Mytilus edulis: one gene and its partner. The protein of the gene in region 1 interacts with the protein of each later gene in a pairwise test. Links are inferred from orthologs where the notes say so. Each region holds a gene or a part of one and is shown on either strand. Other genes may lie near its edges.

Evidence for each region. The genes of interacting proteins can lie anywhere in the genome.
Region 2: the proteins of nuclear factor erythroid 2-related factor 2-like (region 1) and kelch-like ECH-associated protein 1 interact in binary tests that used the Homo sapiens proteins (3 or more experiments, as listed by UniProt). The link is inferred for Mytilus edulis from reciprocal best matches to the Homo sapiens genes NFE2L1 and KEAP1.

The regions. Positions count from the first base shown.
Region 1 is NC_092345.1:73,244,209-73,251,437, reverse strand, and holds the start of nuclear factor erythroid 2-related factor 2-like, read left to right. Parts: upstream 1-4,212; 5' UTR 4,213-4,462; coding exon of another isoform or gene 4,463-4,513; 5' UTR 4,514-5,339; coding exon 5,340-5,918; intron 5,919-7,229.
Region 2 is NC_092344.1:32,807,662-32,814,785, reverse strand, and holds the start of kelch-like ECH-associated protein 1, read left to right. Parts: upstream 1-4,119; 5' UTR 4,120-4,269; intron 4,270-7,124. Other genes in the region: dystrophin-like, read right to left, coding at 399-473, 1,214-1,275, 1,962-2,022, 3,980-4,034. UniProt on the Homo sapiens protein: Substrate-specific adapter of a BCR (BTB-CUL3-RBX1) E3 ubiquitin ligase complex that regulates the response to oxidative stress by targeting NFE2L2/NRF2 for ubiquitination.

The DNA.
Region 1 (7,229 bases):
CTTTGATCAATTTTATGACGAGACACTAGACCTAATCTAATTTGGCACCCAGTTTCTCGTGCAACACATCATAAACGGCGAGACTTCAGCGTGTCTAATGGGTCATATGCACAACCATGTCAGAAGTCTCAACTATGGACACCGTGGAAAAGTGATGTTTTTTACTCAACGTTTGATAAAGTTGAATATCATTGATTCACATTATACGAAAACCCACATCTACCGAATACAGAAGAAGTTGTCAAAGATCTGCAAAACTATACCACCTGTTCAAAATGTACTGAGGGTCGGCCGCCACCAATCAAGGAGACGATATTAAACAACAACAAAAAACGATCAGACACAGAGTACAATAAACATACTAAATTTAAAAGGGAAAGACATACATCTTCATTTGACATCCACGCAAAAAGAACTCTGGTGTAACAAACCATACAGTAAATGTTGTCTAATGACAATCGTATCACATCTCCCTATTTAAAAATGTATGTCCAGATGCATTCAGTTACATTTCAGGCATACATAGACATTGAAAAAGGACAAAATTATACGATCAGATCAGGGGTTTTTTTAGTTTAGTTTAAATATATCTTATTTGTTTAAAGAAAAATGAATCAGACACAAGTAAAACATACTTATAAAGTCTTCTTCACAATACAATATATATATAATAATACAAATTGAACGTGAGTATTCATTATATGATAACAAACAACTTAAATATTTCTAGACTATACTGAAAAAAGGAGAGAACGATAGAGATTAGGAAAATGATAATGATGATGATGTGCGTTTTACATATGATACTATACTACGAGGAATCTTTTTGATATATTTTGAAATTGAATACTTGTTTAACAATTTGCACATTTTGGTCATAGGACAGAGTTTCTTTTCCAAAACCCAATAGTTTTTAGTCCAAATCGCAGCCTTCGGGAAGCCAGCTGAGACTATTAAACAGAGTATATAGCCCTTTTATTAACTGATTAAGATATAGAAAGGACAATCAAAGAAATAATGGTACATGTCCTCAATATCCAAACCACATTTACATTTTGGATCACATATGATGTTAGCTCTAAACAAGTCACAATTCAATTTAAAAGGATGCCGAACATCTAAATTGTATTAAGATTATATTCAATTTTCTTGGACCATATAAATAATGTTGAGATATATTGTCATTTCGAATGTCGTGGTTTGTAAATTCTACTTGAATTTTGATAACGAGTCTACATTTTGTTTGTTCGCAAGGGATCTTGTATCGGTAGACGCTTCAATGTGTGGCCAGACATCAAAAGCGTTTTCTTCTGTGAGAGCAGAATCGGGAACAACAGGACTTTGCAAGAAATACGATTGCCGGAGAGTTGCATCGTAAAAATAAACAACGAATAATCTCCTGTTCAAACCAAAAAGGTAAAAGAAAAGGCGAGATAAGCCCCAGTCCATACTCCCAATCAAAGAAGTATAAAGGGCAAGGTGAAGTCCCCTGTACAACAAAAAGATCAATTTGCCAGCATAGACTCATATTAGTATAGTTTTCTTGGTGTTATCAGCTGGATGTAAACATGCAGAATTTTACAACAGTTTTGAAAATTCATACACCCTGAGGCCCTGCCCTAACTCGACGATAAGCTTTATAATGTGAATTGAAGCTGATATTTAACAATTTCAATATGCAGGCAACCTGATAATTTGTATTAAGTAAGTTAACGTTAGCCAATGAAACGGTCTTAGGGCGCGAGAAAAGACCATGCAGCATATAACTGTCGAAGAACCAATTTTATACATCATGGCAAATGAAAACGATAAGATTTTTTCAATAATGTCTTAGATTGGAGTCTAAATTATCCTGTTTACCGAAACAGTGTGAAGTTGTTCAGATTTTCACTCAAGAACAACAAAACATGTCATATTCCCTATTTTGAACTAGTCTGGATTTGTATTTAGTGGCGGACGGTGCATAAACAGCATCAGGCGCTCTGCTTATCGACGCACCATGCAGTCTCCATTGCGTTGGTGTTTTTTTTTATTCTGTTGGTCATGGTTGGTATTTTCAAAATAGATTAATGGCATTAATGATTTGAACAGCGATTACTACAGTTGTCTCTTCAAATTATACAAGATAATTTTCCCTGTCAATTTTCAATCCATACAAATTTCGGAAGTGGCCTCAGTTTTATCTCGGTGGTGTCCGAGGATAATATTTGTTTGAACGTATATATAACTAGACGACGGGCAACTGATAGACGTCAAATGATGATAAAGGCTCATATTCGATATTTTGGGCCATAAAGTCGTTCTTTTGAGCCACTTAGTCAATAAAAAGTGAAGCGTGCATTAGACGTAAGCACATCTATAAAAACAATTACAGATGACACGGAAATGCCTTCACCAACAAGCAAAACCAATACTGTATATGGTTATCATTTAATACATGAAAAGCCAAATATAATAACAATATCGTTATCATTCTTTTTTTAAAGTTATTTAAAGCCAAGTTCAATGAAATAAATTTAGAAAAATATTACTGCATGTACCATGATAATATTATTTTTCAAGTAAAATCCATCAAATGTGTACTAAAAAGTTCCAATATCGTTTTGGCGATACTTTCTTCCTTATGTCACAAAAGCCACTATGAATAGATTGAAATTCAGGCGCCGGGCTCCCTATACGCTAACACGCAGTTGCGTGCACATCGATTCGGCATGCTATGTTGTTACTTTTTTTAATTGATGAAAGACATTAAATACCATCAAATAACGGCATTAGGTTTCAAAATGAAAGTTATATTGGAGAGTATGACAAAATCGGACAGTAACTTGTATCTTTTACAAGATTTGAATTTGTAATACTTATTACTCAGTCTAAGACATGTAGTTTTGGAGCACATTTTACAGTGTACGGTTCATCAGTTTGGAATGAGATTTACCAATCGGCAATAGAATTATCAGAACACTTCGATATCGTTGAAAATATGCCGAGGCCATGTGCGTTCATAGACCATATGATAAGGGAACTGCAGAGTGGAGTCGCGTCTAGTATTACCAGAAAATCTTCTTTGCGTTGTATCTGCTTCATCGTGTTGTAGGAAATATATCAAACGAACAAATCTCAACATTGTCTGGGACATACGAAACTGACCTGGCATGTAGTTTTGACGAATTCAATTGGGAGGTCGCTCGATGCCGAACACGTACGCTGGTTTATAACATCTCGCGAGTGCTTCCACGGAGATCTATCAGTGTACTACATATATTGAAAACAAATGTACGATCAACAATGAACAACGACAGTTACTAGCATTACTGCATATTCATCGGGATTTCAGTGTAAATATTGACAAAGTAATAGAGAAGTTTGTTTCTGTCTAGACCCGAAGAGCCGATTTTGAACAATTTTGAGTAAATTCTGTATCTCAAATATGTCGGTTGTTTATGTATTACTCTATTCGGAAGATTTATTAATAGTTTTACATTCATAATTTTTTTATAAGTCCTATCTACATATAGCTCCTCTTTTAACCGTCCTATGACCGAGAACCGAAAAAATAAATTTCTTCATAAAAGGGTCCCAAAAAGTTTTCGACTCGCTCCGCTCGGCGGTACTTCCTAGGCTTGCACATCGTTTCATTCTAGCTACGTCCCCGGAAAATATGAATTCGCTCCATTATTAATTTGCACAACTTCTCGGTATTCAAGTGTTATGAGTTTTAATGTTCCCTTTGTAAATATCTAACGTTGTGAATCAAAGTAAACTATTTCTGGGACATAATAAAGGTATACTTGTCTATTCCCAGACTATACACGGTTGTGACAATTCTTAATTAAGGGAAGTTGAAATACTGCTGTCCACGTAGATTACAATGAAGAAGAAAAAATATAATAAGACGGCCGTAAATGAATTGGAAAATGTATTTTGATAAAAATAGCAAATCCAAGTGTGAATCGGGCCACCGTGACATGTTTGACGAAAACTTAAACACAGGGACTTTAGAATTTTAATAATTAACTTTAAAACTTTTTTGAATCAGAATCTTTCATGAAAACAAGGGTTTGAAAAACTAATGATGATATATTGGTGTATGCACAGAAAATAAACGAAAACTAAATAATACAATGCTTGTCAATGAACAATGAACCGTATATATTAAATACAATTATCACGTGGTACTGTTATCCAATCGTTTTCTGTAATTCTTACATAGTCAGGATTGTCATTAAATGGTGTATTGAGAGGTCTAAGGTGTTATCAAAGTGAAACAGTACATGAATTTTATACATATTGGAAATGTATTTTTCGCGACATAAACTGTGGATTTTATCAAATTAATTCAATGTATTTTCAATTAGTAACAAATCCCAGGTGAACAGGAAAAACAGGAGTAAATCAGGTTTTTATCATCTGTGTATTGCCTTGTGAATTAGGTCACGTGTGTTATTGATACAAAATAGTGAAGATGATGGAAATAGAACCTGTTATGTCGGTAGATAATACTTCTCTGACACAAGTAAGTTTGCTATTGTAGTTATTAATGGAAATAATTTCTTTATATATATTAATCCAAGGGTTCATTACATTTTCACTGGGAATTTGTGTGATCTTGTGTGACCCAGTTTTGTAAAATGTCAATTGAAATATAGTGATGACCGGTGTGCCATATTATACTTTATTTTTAGACAATTTTTTTATATCATCAATTTTTTGGATTTTTGAAATATAAATGGGAGGGAAATGAAGCGTAAAGGTCATTAGAGGCTCTGTATTTTAATCAATTTCTCGGTTCACCTGTTTGTTACCCGGAAACAAATTAGTAAAGGTGAGCGGAAGTTGTCCTTCGGAGTATCTCGAACTTTTTATTGTTACAAATAAAAATCTGGAGGATTCCGAACTACTTGACGTCATTTTCTAATTCGCTGAATCACATTTGTTATGAAGATTCTAGAAGAAACAGAGTGTTGCACGAATTTTAGTTGAAATCTCGCACAATATCGATACAAACATATATCAATACAATCCAGACTACACAATTTATACACTTATAACATCAAACTTTAACGAAACTGGTCTATTTTCTCCCTGTAGTAGCTGTCAGTGTCATGGCAGCCGCGTGCGCTCCCTGTTAAAAATGGGAACAAAGGCATTGTTGTTATTAGCTTTATTTAAAAACTAATAATCATTTGAGATGTTTACCAAATTATAAGAAATTATGGATTAGCAATTTTCACCAGCTTATTGATAAAAATTCACAAAGTGAAGGACAAGAAACCGAAAAAAACCATTGTACACAACTTTTGAAAGGAATTCCACAAAGTACTTCCTGTTGTATCGACAAGATGCTTAAAGACTACTTTGTTGATGGACTTGTGCAAATTGCCATAGTTCTGAGTTTGTTGAGGACTGACTTGAATAACTACATGAACATTCACTATGTAAATTACCCAGAAGTGCAAGAAATTATTCTAGGATCATCAGCTGCATTAGCTCCAACTAACTTCATCAATAACAACATCAATTCTTTCTATGGCAGTGGTAATCCTAAATCAATTTACAGTGATTTGACATATCAAAATCTTATTCAAGATTTACGTTCTTTAAGGCGTTTTTCTGTTTGGCAAAGATCTCATTCAGCTCAACAAATAGAAACATTTCTGGTTGGTTTGAATAATTTACCAGAAATTGCAAGAGCACCAGCTGTAGAGCAAAACAACAATAATAATGTACAGTCAGAAACAAACACTGATGACCAAAGTGATGTTGAATCAAGCAACAACAATCAGAACTTAGATAGCAATGATAATGTGCAATATGAAGAAGTTGTTCTTGGTGTTGACAGTACATGTAGCACAAGTAGTTCTGTCTCATCCAGTGTAAATAGTCAATATGACTTTCAGTTTGATGGTCTGTCAAGGGAGGTATGAACAGTTCTTTAAAAATAGATTTTCTAAGCATTATGTACATTTCCTTCTGAATACCTATACTCCTTGCATTTTTCATCTTATAAAAAAACCATGTACACTGTGATCTCCCCAGGCCGATATGAAGCTGAGGTGCCGCAGCGCCTTCATAATATTTTTGTATATCCTGCAGCGTCTTAATTGGCCACTGTCCCTTGATACTTGATCCCGCAGCGTGTATATATTCACATTTTCATAATAAATGTTTGTTAAAATTGTCAAGTTGCTGATCATCGTTGAGAGGTCGGTCAGTGTTACGCAATATCTGTTAATTAGTTTTACCTGAGCCATGCTAATCTCAGCCTTATTGGACTCTTTATCATGTAATAGCGTAAATTATCATCAAGAAAATAGATATTTTTAGAAGAAAATTTAAAAATTTAAAAACTTCAGTGCAGAAAGAAATAGATGACCATAGATCGCAAATACATTGTATTTACACATTGTGTGTGTGATTACTTGACCGTTTAAATAATGATTTTTTTCATTGGTCGAGAAGAAGAATCTTTTTAAACACGACCAAAGAACGTGTTCAATACATGTGATAAATTTGAATACACATTTCTAAAGATATTTACGATGAAAATTATGAATGAGAGTATTTTTAGTTGAAAAAATTTAAATAAACTTTGATTAACGATAACAAGGAGTGATTTATTTTAATTGAAAGTGAAAAATGTTGCTTGCAAGGTAAATTCGTCTCAAACTGTCATATTTTTAGAAAGAAAATAATCTTTGAACATCAATCGTGAATCCGTGCGGGAAATATGTGACAATCAACACGGGTACGGAATTGCCGCAGCTTCTGTATAATGTCACCAGTAAATACTTTGAATGGTCTTAACTTTAACGAAGTTTCATTTATATCTACCTGTCAAAGATAGGTTTTAACAATAATGCACACAGAAGCGAAAATAAATGTCAAACTACGGAAAATGGTCAGCTGTTCATTAAAATATTTTTGTTTTAAAAAGTTGTATACCAAATATCTTAACCATATTCGATTTTATTAATTCTGAATGAACATGCTCTCTGCAAATAACAAAGGGGTGAATTCTAAGCAAAAGGCAGATGATGAAAGTAGATGTATTTTTTCAGACCAATGACTTCTAATGAAAAGGGAAATACACCTCTGATCCGTCTACACTCAGCTGTCAGTATACGCAGATATTGTTGCTTGCCCTAATCCCAACCGAGCTAAAGTTTTAGCAAGTGATAAAAGCAAGCACCATGTTTCTGGTTTCAGTGACAAGTCACTGACAGAGTTTT
Region 2 (7,124 bases), on another chromosome or scaffold:
GTTCTAGTTTTAAATTATACAAACCTATAATTGGAAAACAATCTCAGAATAAAACAGAGAATTTGTTCCTTGTTCACAGAATTTTTACTTTTTTCTATGAGGAAGACTTTTAAGACCACAATTTTTAATCAACTTTGCAAAGTTGTTAAATAAGAAGATGTTCATAGTGACTGTTATATTTATTACATTAGATGTCGACAGTTTAAGTCATGTGTTGTTAGTCACCATATTTGTTTGACTGTGCGACTTGTACATTACAAGTTGTCTCCCTTATGAAGATTGATAGCAATTTGACTTCGCTATGAAGTAAGTCAGTTGTTAAGACTTCTTAAGCGACTTAAATCATCATTTCCCCAGCATGATTATGGCCTGTGTTTATAATAATATTTCATACTTACGTTTGAATTTTTTTTGTAGATGTCTGATTTTGAAAGCTGTTCTGTAAGCAGCATACTTTATACGACTGTAATCTCCTGTAAAACATTTGGGTATGCTCTTAATAAACATATCAAATTTCCATCAATAAATCTAATTTTTAAAACTAATATGTTATGTCTGCAATTACTACGTACTGTCAGTGTAAAATTGTAAAGTTGTTTATCAAAATCCAACTTTACTCATCAGTAAAATAAAGGAACATTTTTTTTAAGTTTGATATTTGTTCTGTAGGTGCTACTACTTGATCTTGAAGATTATTTCTAAGATTTAAAACTTTCCAAGAAGAACTATTATCAAAGAATGTATATACATGTGAATGTTTGTAATATTGAATACTGTAAACTCAGAAAAGTTTTTATTATTGGGAAAATGCAACAGAGTTGTAAACGCAATTATTTAAACATGCATTTTGAAATATTTGATATGAATTAAACTAGATTTTTCTAAAAATTGAAAAAAGTAAAAAAAAGCAATAATAAATGCATGCATTAATTTCTGAATTTACAGATGCAAAATGTAATTTCAAAACTTTGCTGTGAATTCTGTCATTTGGTTATAATAAATATGATAAAGCTTCTCTTCAAGCTTCATTAAACTTTTACTAACAATTATCATGTTACATCGTCAGATTGAATAAAGTGGTAAAGAAAGATGTTTGCAGTTTAATAAAAGTATAATGATAACCACATCGCTGTGTATTGATTCTGTTATGCAATGTGCAGAAAAAATGGTGTTAGTTCATTGATCATTATATGTTCTATCTATAAAATTTTACCCAATTCTTCCATTGTCTTCAACAAGTATGGATGGTCCCATGTTGTTCTTTGTAATTTGTGACTGTAAATAAATGATTTATAGTTTTAAAACAGTTATATATCTACATCACATGCTTAGACACTAAAATATATGCTAAAACAAAGTTTAGGGGGTTTGACAAGGGGGCACCATTGGCTACTTCCCACTTTTTAGTTAAACCTTTCTCATCCCAGATCCCACTTTTCTACCACCTTTAACTTATATCTCCACTTTTTTACCCTCATTTCAAAATCCTGTCATCTCCTTCATAGTATAAATCACTAGAGAATTAATTTATAATTGGTAATAAAAAATCTGGTTATTGTGGTAAAACAGAAGTTAGTACCATCCCATATAATAACTATAAATTAAACTTGAAACTTAAGTTGAAAGGCAATGAATAAATGTCAAATACAAACTCTTTGAAGATTGAAGTTTTTGCAGTTCCCTTGAATAGAAATGCACTCATCATATTTATGATTCATATATGAAGACTGTTTACTATGCAATTCTGAAGAAAAAAGATTGTGACAATATTTTATGCAAACACATGCATGTAACATTGCTCTCAGATTAGATTTGTACCTTACAATAGATTATTATTTTCTGACCTGTAACTTTATACAAAAGTTAACATGTGAAAAATGAATACTTGACCGACTATCATTGGCATGCTAAAATTATTTGATGATACTTTCGGAGCTTAAATAACAAGTCTATCATATTACCAGATATAGTATGGAACACCGGTTTTTGTCTCTGTTCTCTCCCAACCATCCACAATTCTTTCTGTAAACAAAAAACAAAATAAACTGAACATGCTGGAAATATACTGCCATTTTTTTTTTTAAAATAAGTACAAATGCATGATGATTAAAGAAAATGTAGATAAATTTGATGTTTTTTTTTTTTAAATATCATTAATAAAAAAGATAAGATATATTTAATTTGGTAGACAGCCATGCAAAATCCTCATGAATAATCAAGGATATTTTTTGAAAATTGAAAAAGCTACATACATGCTTATTAAAACTTTACTACCGTGAGCTAATCAACAGTCATAACTTGTTAAAAAAAATTTGTATATATCTGATTACTTTTAGGTATAATAAGTAAAACAAACAAAACAACCTCTGGGAGCTCATCAGGTACATGCATCACCAGATGTGTTTTTGTCTTTTCAAATTCTTATTATGAACTTTGTTAGTTTTCTCTTTTGAATTGTTTTACATTGTCTTATCAGGGCCTTTTATAGCTGACTATGCGGTATGGACTTTGCTCATTGTTGAAGGCCGTACAGTGACCTATAGTTGTTAATGTCTGTGTCATTTTGGTCTTTTGTGGGTAGTTGTCTCATTGGCAATCATACCACATCTTCTTTTTTATATTTGACATAATGTTGTATTCACTTCTATTAAGAGTAAGCCTTTGTTGCTAAGATTTGACACTTCCAAGTTAGATTGATTGATTGCTGTTTAATGTACTAGTCTTCAGCACTATTTTACATTTTCGTGAAGGTTAGTTTTTGATAGTTGAGGAAGCCAGAGTACTTGAGAAAACATTTACCCTTTGAAAGGAAAACTCACAATTCTTGTTAATGAAGAGAGGAGTAAAGTGCATGCACCTGCTATGTGCAGGATTCTACATGAACCTCACCACCTCTCAGGCTAGTTCAACCCTCTTGCTGCCAGAAGGACACATGTGTACACACAGACTGTGCCGGAGGGACACATATGTCCTTGTTTTAATTTTCACAAACTTCTCCTCATAGCTGTATCTTTTTCAAAGACCAAAGATTAAACCATGTTATATTTTTAATCAATGTGTACTAAATGTAACGGTCATGTATCAAATTATGTCATTGTCATGATTGTTGTACATCTAATGTCATAAACATTGAGCTGCTGTACATTCTTTTATCTAACACACAAAATGCAACCTTGATAAACAACTGGCAGCAAGAGGGTAAAGTAGTTATGTTGAACAGAAGTACGATTGCTCAAACCACTCGGCCACCTAAGTTCCACAATTTTTTTCTAGTAATAAAAAAATTAAAATAAGGAAATAATCTTCCAAAAATCAAGTTAATGGTTTCTTTACACCTTATTGTTATTTGTTTGCCATAACTGGACATATCACAGGATCCTGTAAAAATTTGATGGAACAATAAAAAAATGTTTGTCACAACAAAGGAAATGTGATTTTTGTATGGACTCCATAGATCTGGCAATTACAAAATATTTGTTTTACATTCCCTATATGACGAAGTCAGCTAATGTGCGATATCACCAGCTGCTCAGACACCTTGTTCTCCACTGTAATTTAGTTAGATCACAAATTTATGTTGGCCTGTAGAGTGTGGGGGTATGGCAAACAGTCTGCACCAAAAACTTTTTCAGCTACTAGTCCGAAGACCAATATTCTGACATTTTTCTTATTTGTCCAAACAAAGTTTTACAAAAACTCACTAGTCTGAATAAAATTTTACTAGTGGCTTACCATGCAGACTGGGCAAAAGGAAATTTACAAGCCTTAGGGTGCTAGGTCTGTATTTGAGAGTGGAGACTGGTATTCAATCATGGACCCTCAAGGACAAGGGGCATACACTTAAAATTAATTTGACAATGATTATCATACTGAAACACAAACACAGTGATACATAACAAACTACAAGTTTGAGAACATCCATCTGCTTGTTTTTGCAGTTTAGTGTTGTCAACTTCAAATTTGAAATCAAAAGCAATACCATAAATATCAACAGATTCCATTTTTAAGGCACAGCAGCTGTTAGGGTGAATCATTTGACAGTTTTTGTAAACATTTTCACTTTTTCTGATTATTTTAAACTTAAAACAGTCACAAAGGCGCTTTATTAGTAAACACGTTATTAGAAGCGTACTTGGGACCTAGAATGTTGACACAGTAATCGACTTCCGGTTAGGAATTTTAGATCAGCAACATATCGAAGATTCTTGATTATACTAATCTAGACAACAGTTAGAGAGAAAATGGACTGACAATTAAGATAAATATGTGGTAAGATATTGAATCTCATATTCATCCTTGTAAATTTTGTTCTGCATCCTTAGACCTAACCACTAAAACTCATTCAGTAAAACTAAAACAGTAAAAGGGATGGTAAACTGGTAAACCTCACTATAAATTTCTGTAGAATTTTCATGCAATTAAAAAGTCTAAAGACTAAACGCTTGATTCATATCTGCATCTGTACGAGTAGGTTGTTGATACCAATACTGTCTTTAAAACTAAGTTAGAGAGAGCGAAGTCGATTTATTGATGGCGCGTGAGGTCAGTTTGAAGCTCTCAAGGTTTGATGCGGGCACTACAGTGTTTTCAAATACAGGGGCTTGTTTAGTGGGGTAGACAAGGTTTCTTCTTCTTCTTCTTCTTCCAAATACTGCCCACATTCAAAGTGATGAATATTCTGGCAAGTTTACTGTCAATGGCTGTTGCTATCTTACTTAAAACAATTTATATTTTAAAGATAACGAATGCAGTTGACAGTAAAAAGTGTGCAGTTGACAGTAAAACCTGGTCTGACCCACTATTTTAAAACAAGCACCTTGGTACCAAGCACCTGTGCTTCAAGCTGGTTCCACTAGATCACTTTTTTAACATTGTTGTGTTTTACATGTTGGTATTTCAACACATTGTTTTTAATTGTTTTCCATAATATTTGTTGTCTGATAATTGTCAAAATTTCTTGGCAGTGTTTCTAGGACATGCTTTTTCATGTTTTTTAAACATTTGTCTTGTTCTAACTTTAGAACTTTACCTTAAACAGGGCAAAATATTTTCTTTCATGACCATACATTTGTAGACTTATTTTTCACATCATTTCTCAAGTTTTGATCAAATTTGCATTACTGGATCCCAGTTTCCTTCAGCTTATAACAACATGTACAAGGTCAGTGTGCTTTATTTAGGGATGGATATATTGTGCAATTTAGAATTTTTTATACACAAATGCAATTTACAGATAACTTTTGAAATTGTGCATTTTTCAGTACAATGACGTCATTTACACTGCACACAGAATTATTTTTATAAAGAAACACCAACTTTTTATTGATATCTTGAGATACAGGAGATTCCAATTTCATTATTATGAATGAACTCCCCCGTTGAACAAAATGCTGGATGCAACATTCATACTGCCACTACGTCCAAAGAATGTACAAATGTACATTGTATGGGCCATACCTTGAAAAGATGTAACAATGAAATACATTTTTAATACCTGTTGCTTTGTTATATTTTAAGTTATCCCCACAATGGAATAAATTCTTTGATAAAATTGAGAATGGAAATGGGAAATATGTCAAAGAGACAATAACCCGACCAAAGAGAATATAACAGCCGAAGGCTACCAACGGGTCTTAAAGTATGAACGAAACAACCTTACTTGTAATGTATGAACAATATGTCCCAACTCTTATGGAATATGTGGCACATCTTATGGATGATATGGAAGTATGGCAGTCACATCTGGAAAGCCTTGTACCCAAGGTCATTTGTGGAAATATGGGAAATTGTGATGTGGAGATATTTGCTTCGTGATGCTAAATACCCCATATCATTTAAATTGTGCTTTAATAAAATAACATTAACAATAAATAGTTTATACCATTTGTTGCTTATTGCACTAAAGTAATGTGACTTGAAGAATGTCAAAAACTATTTTAGTGTCATCTGATGTCAGCAATAGAGAAAACAGGGCACAGCGTTATAAAAAAATCCTAAAGGATAACTTTGATTCCGAGGATCAGTACATCTCAGTTTAATGTTTATTTTTAAGTTTTGCCCTCTGTGTCATGGTCCAATTAATTTGCAATGTTGAGGTCCATCATTCTTTTTCTAAATAAGAATTATCTTTCTGGCAGGCAAAACATATCACTGAATTATCAGTTTATTTTTGAAACTTAAATATTTATAATGTCATATATCATGTACATGTATGTACCTTGTATATTAGTAATTGAGATAGCAAAGACTTGCTTGCCTCTTATATAAATAAGGACGTTAGTTTTCTCGTTTGAATTGTTTTACATTGTCATTTCGGGGCCTTTTATAGCTAACTATGCAGTATGCAGTATGGGCTTTGCTCATTGTTGAAGGCCGTACAGTGACCTATAGTTAATCATTTCTTCGTCATTTTGGTCTCTTGTGGAGATTTTTCTCCTTGGCAATCATACCACATCTTTTTTTTTTTATATTAATTATCATGTATTATATATATAGAACCAAGCAATTTCTGTTTCTTTAGAATTTTGATAAAAATTACAAAGAAAAAGTGAAAAATTTGAAACTTTTATATACATTTTGTACTACACTGTACATTTAAAATGGTTTGAATCAAAGATGTGTAAGCAACAATTATATTCCTTTGCATTTGTCAAGAAAAAATGCAAGAAGATACAAGGATATTTCAGGAATAAGTTTCATGCATGATAATGATGATTATGATACATATGTCAAAATGTATGTGGATATGAAAACATAGAATTCTTTATCACTTTTACCTTCTTAGAATAAGGCCCTGATTCACCACTTTGTTTTATATTTTTTGCTTTGAGGTATTTTGTAAAATTTTTATTTATTTTTTTAAACAATTGTATGAGGTTGGTACAAACTATTTGTGTTTTTATGCCCCCACTGCAGCAGAGGGGCATTAAGTGATACCCTTTTCTGTCCATATGTACGTCCCAAAAATATCAAAATTTAGTTGGTTATCAACCAAATATTATTTAATAAACTTTTTCACAATGCTTAGCTTATTAACATAAAACACAGATCAAGTTCAAATTTGGGTTGGATCTCTTTTCTTGTTCTGCATTTATGTCCCTTTATAACGTGATATGCAGTTGGAG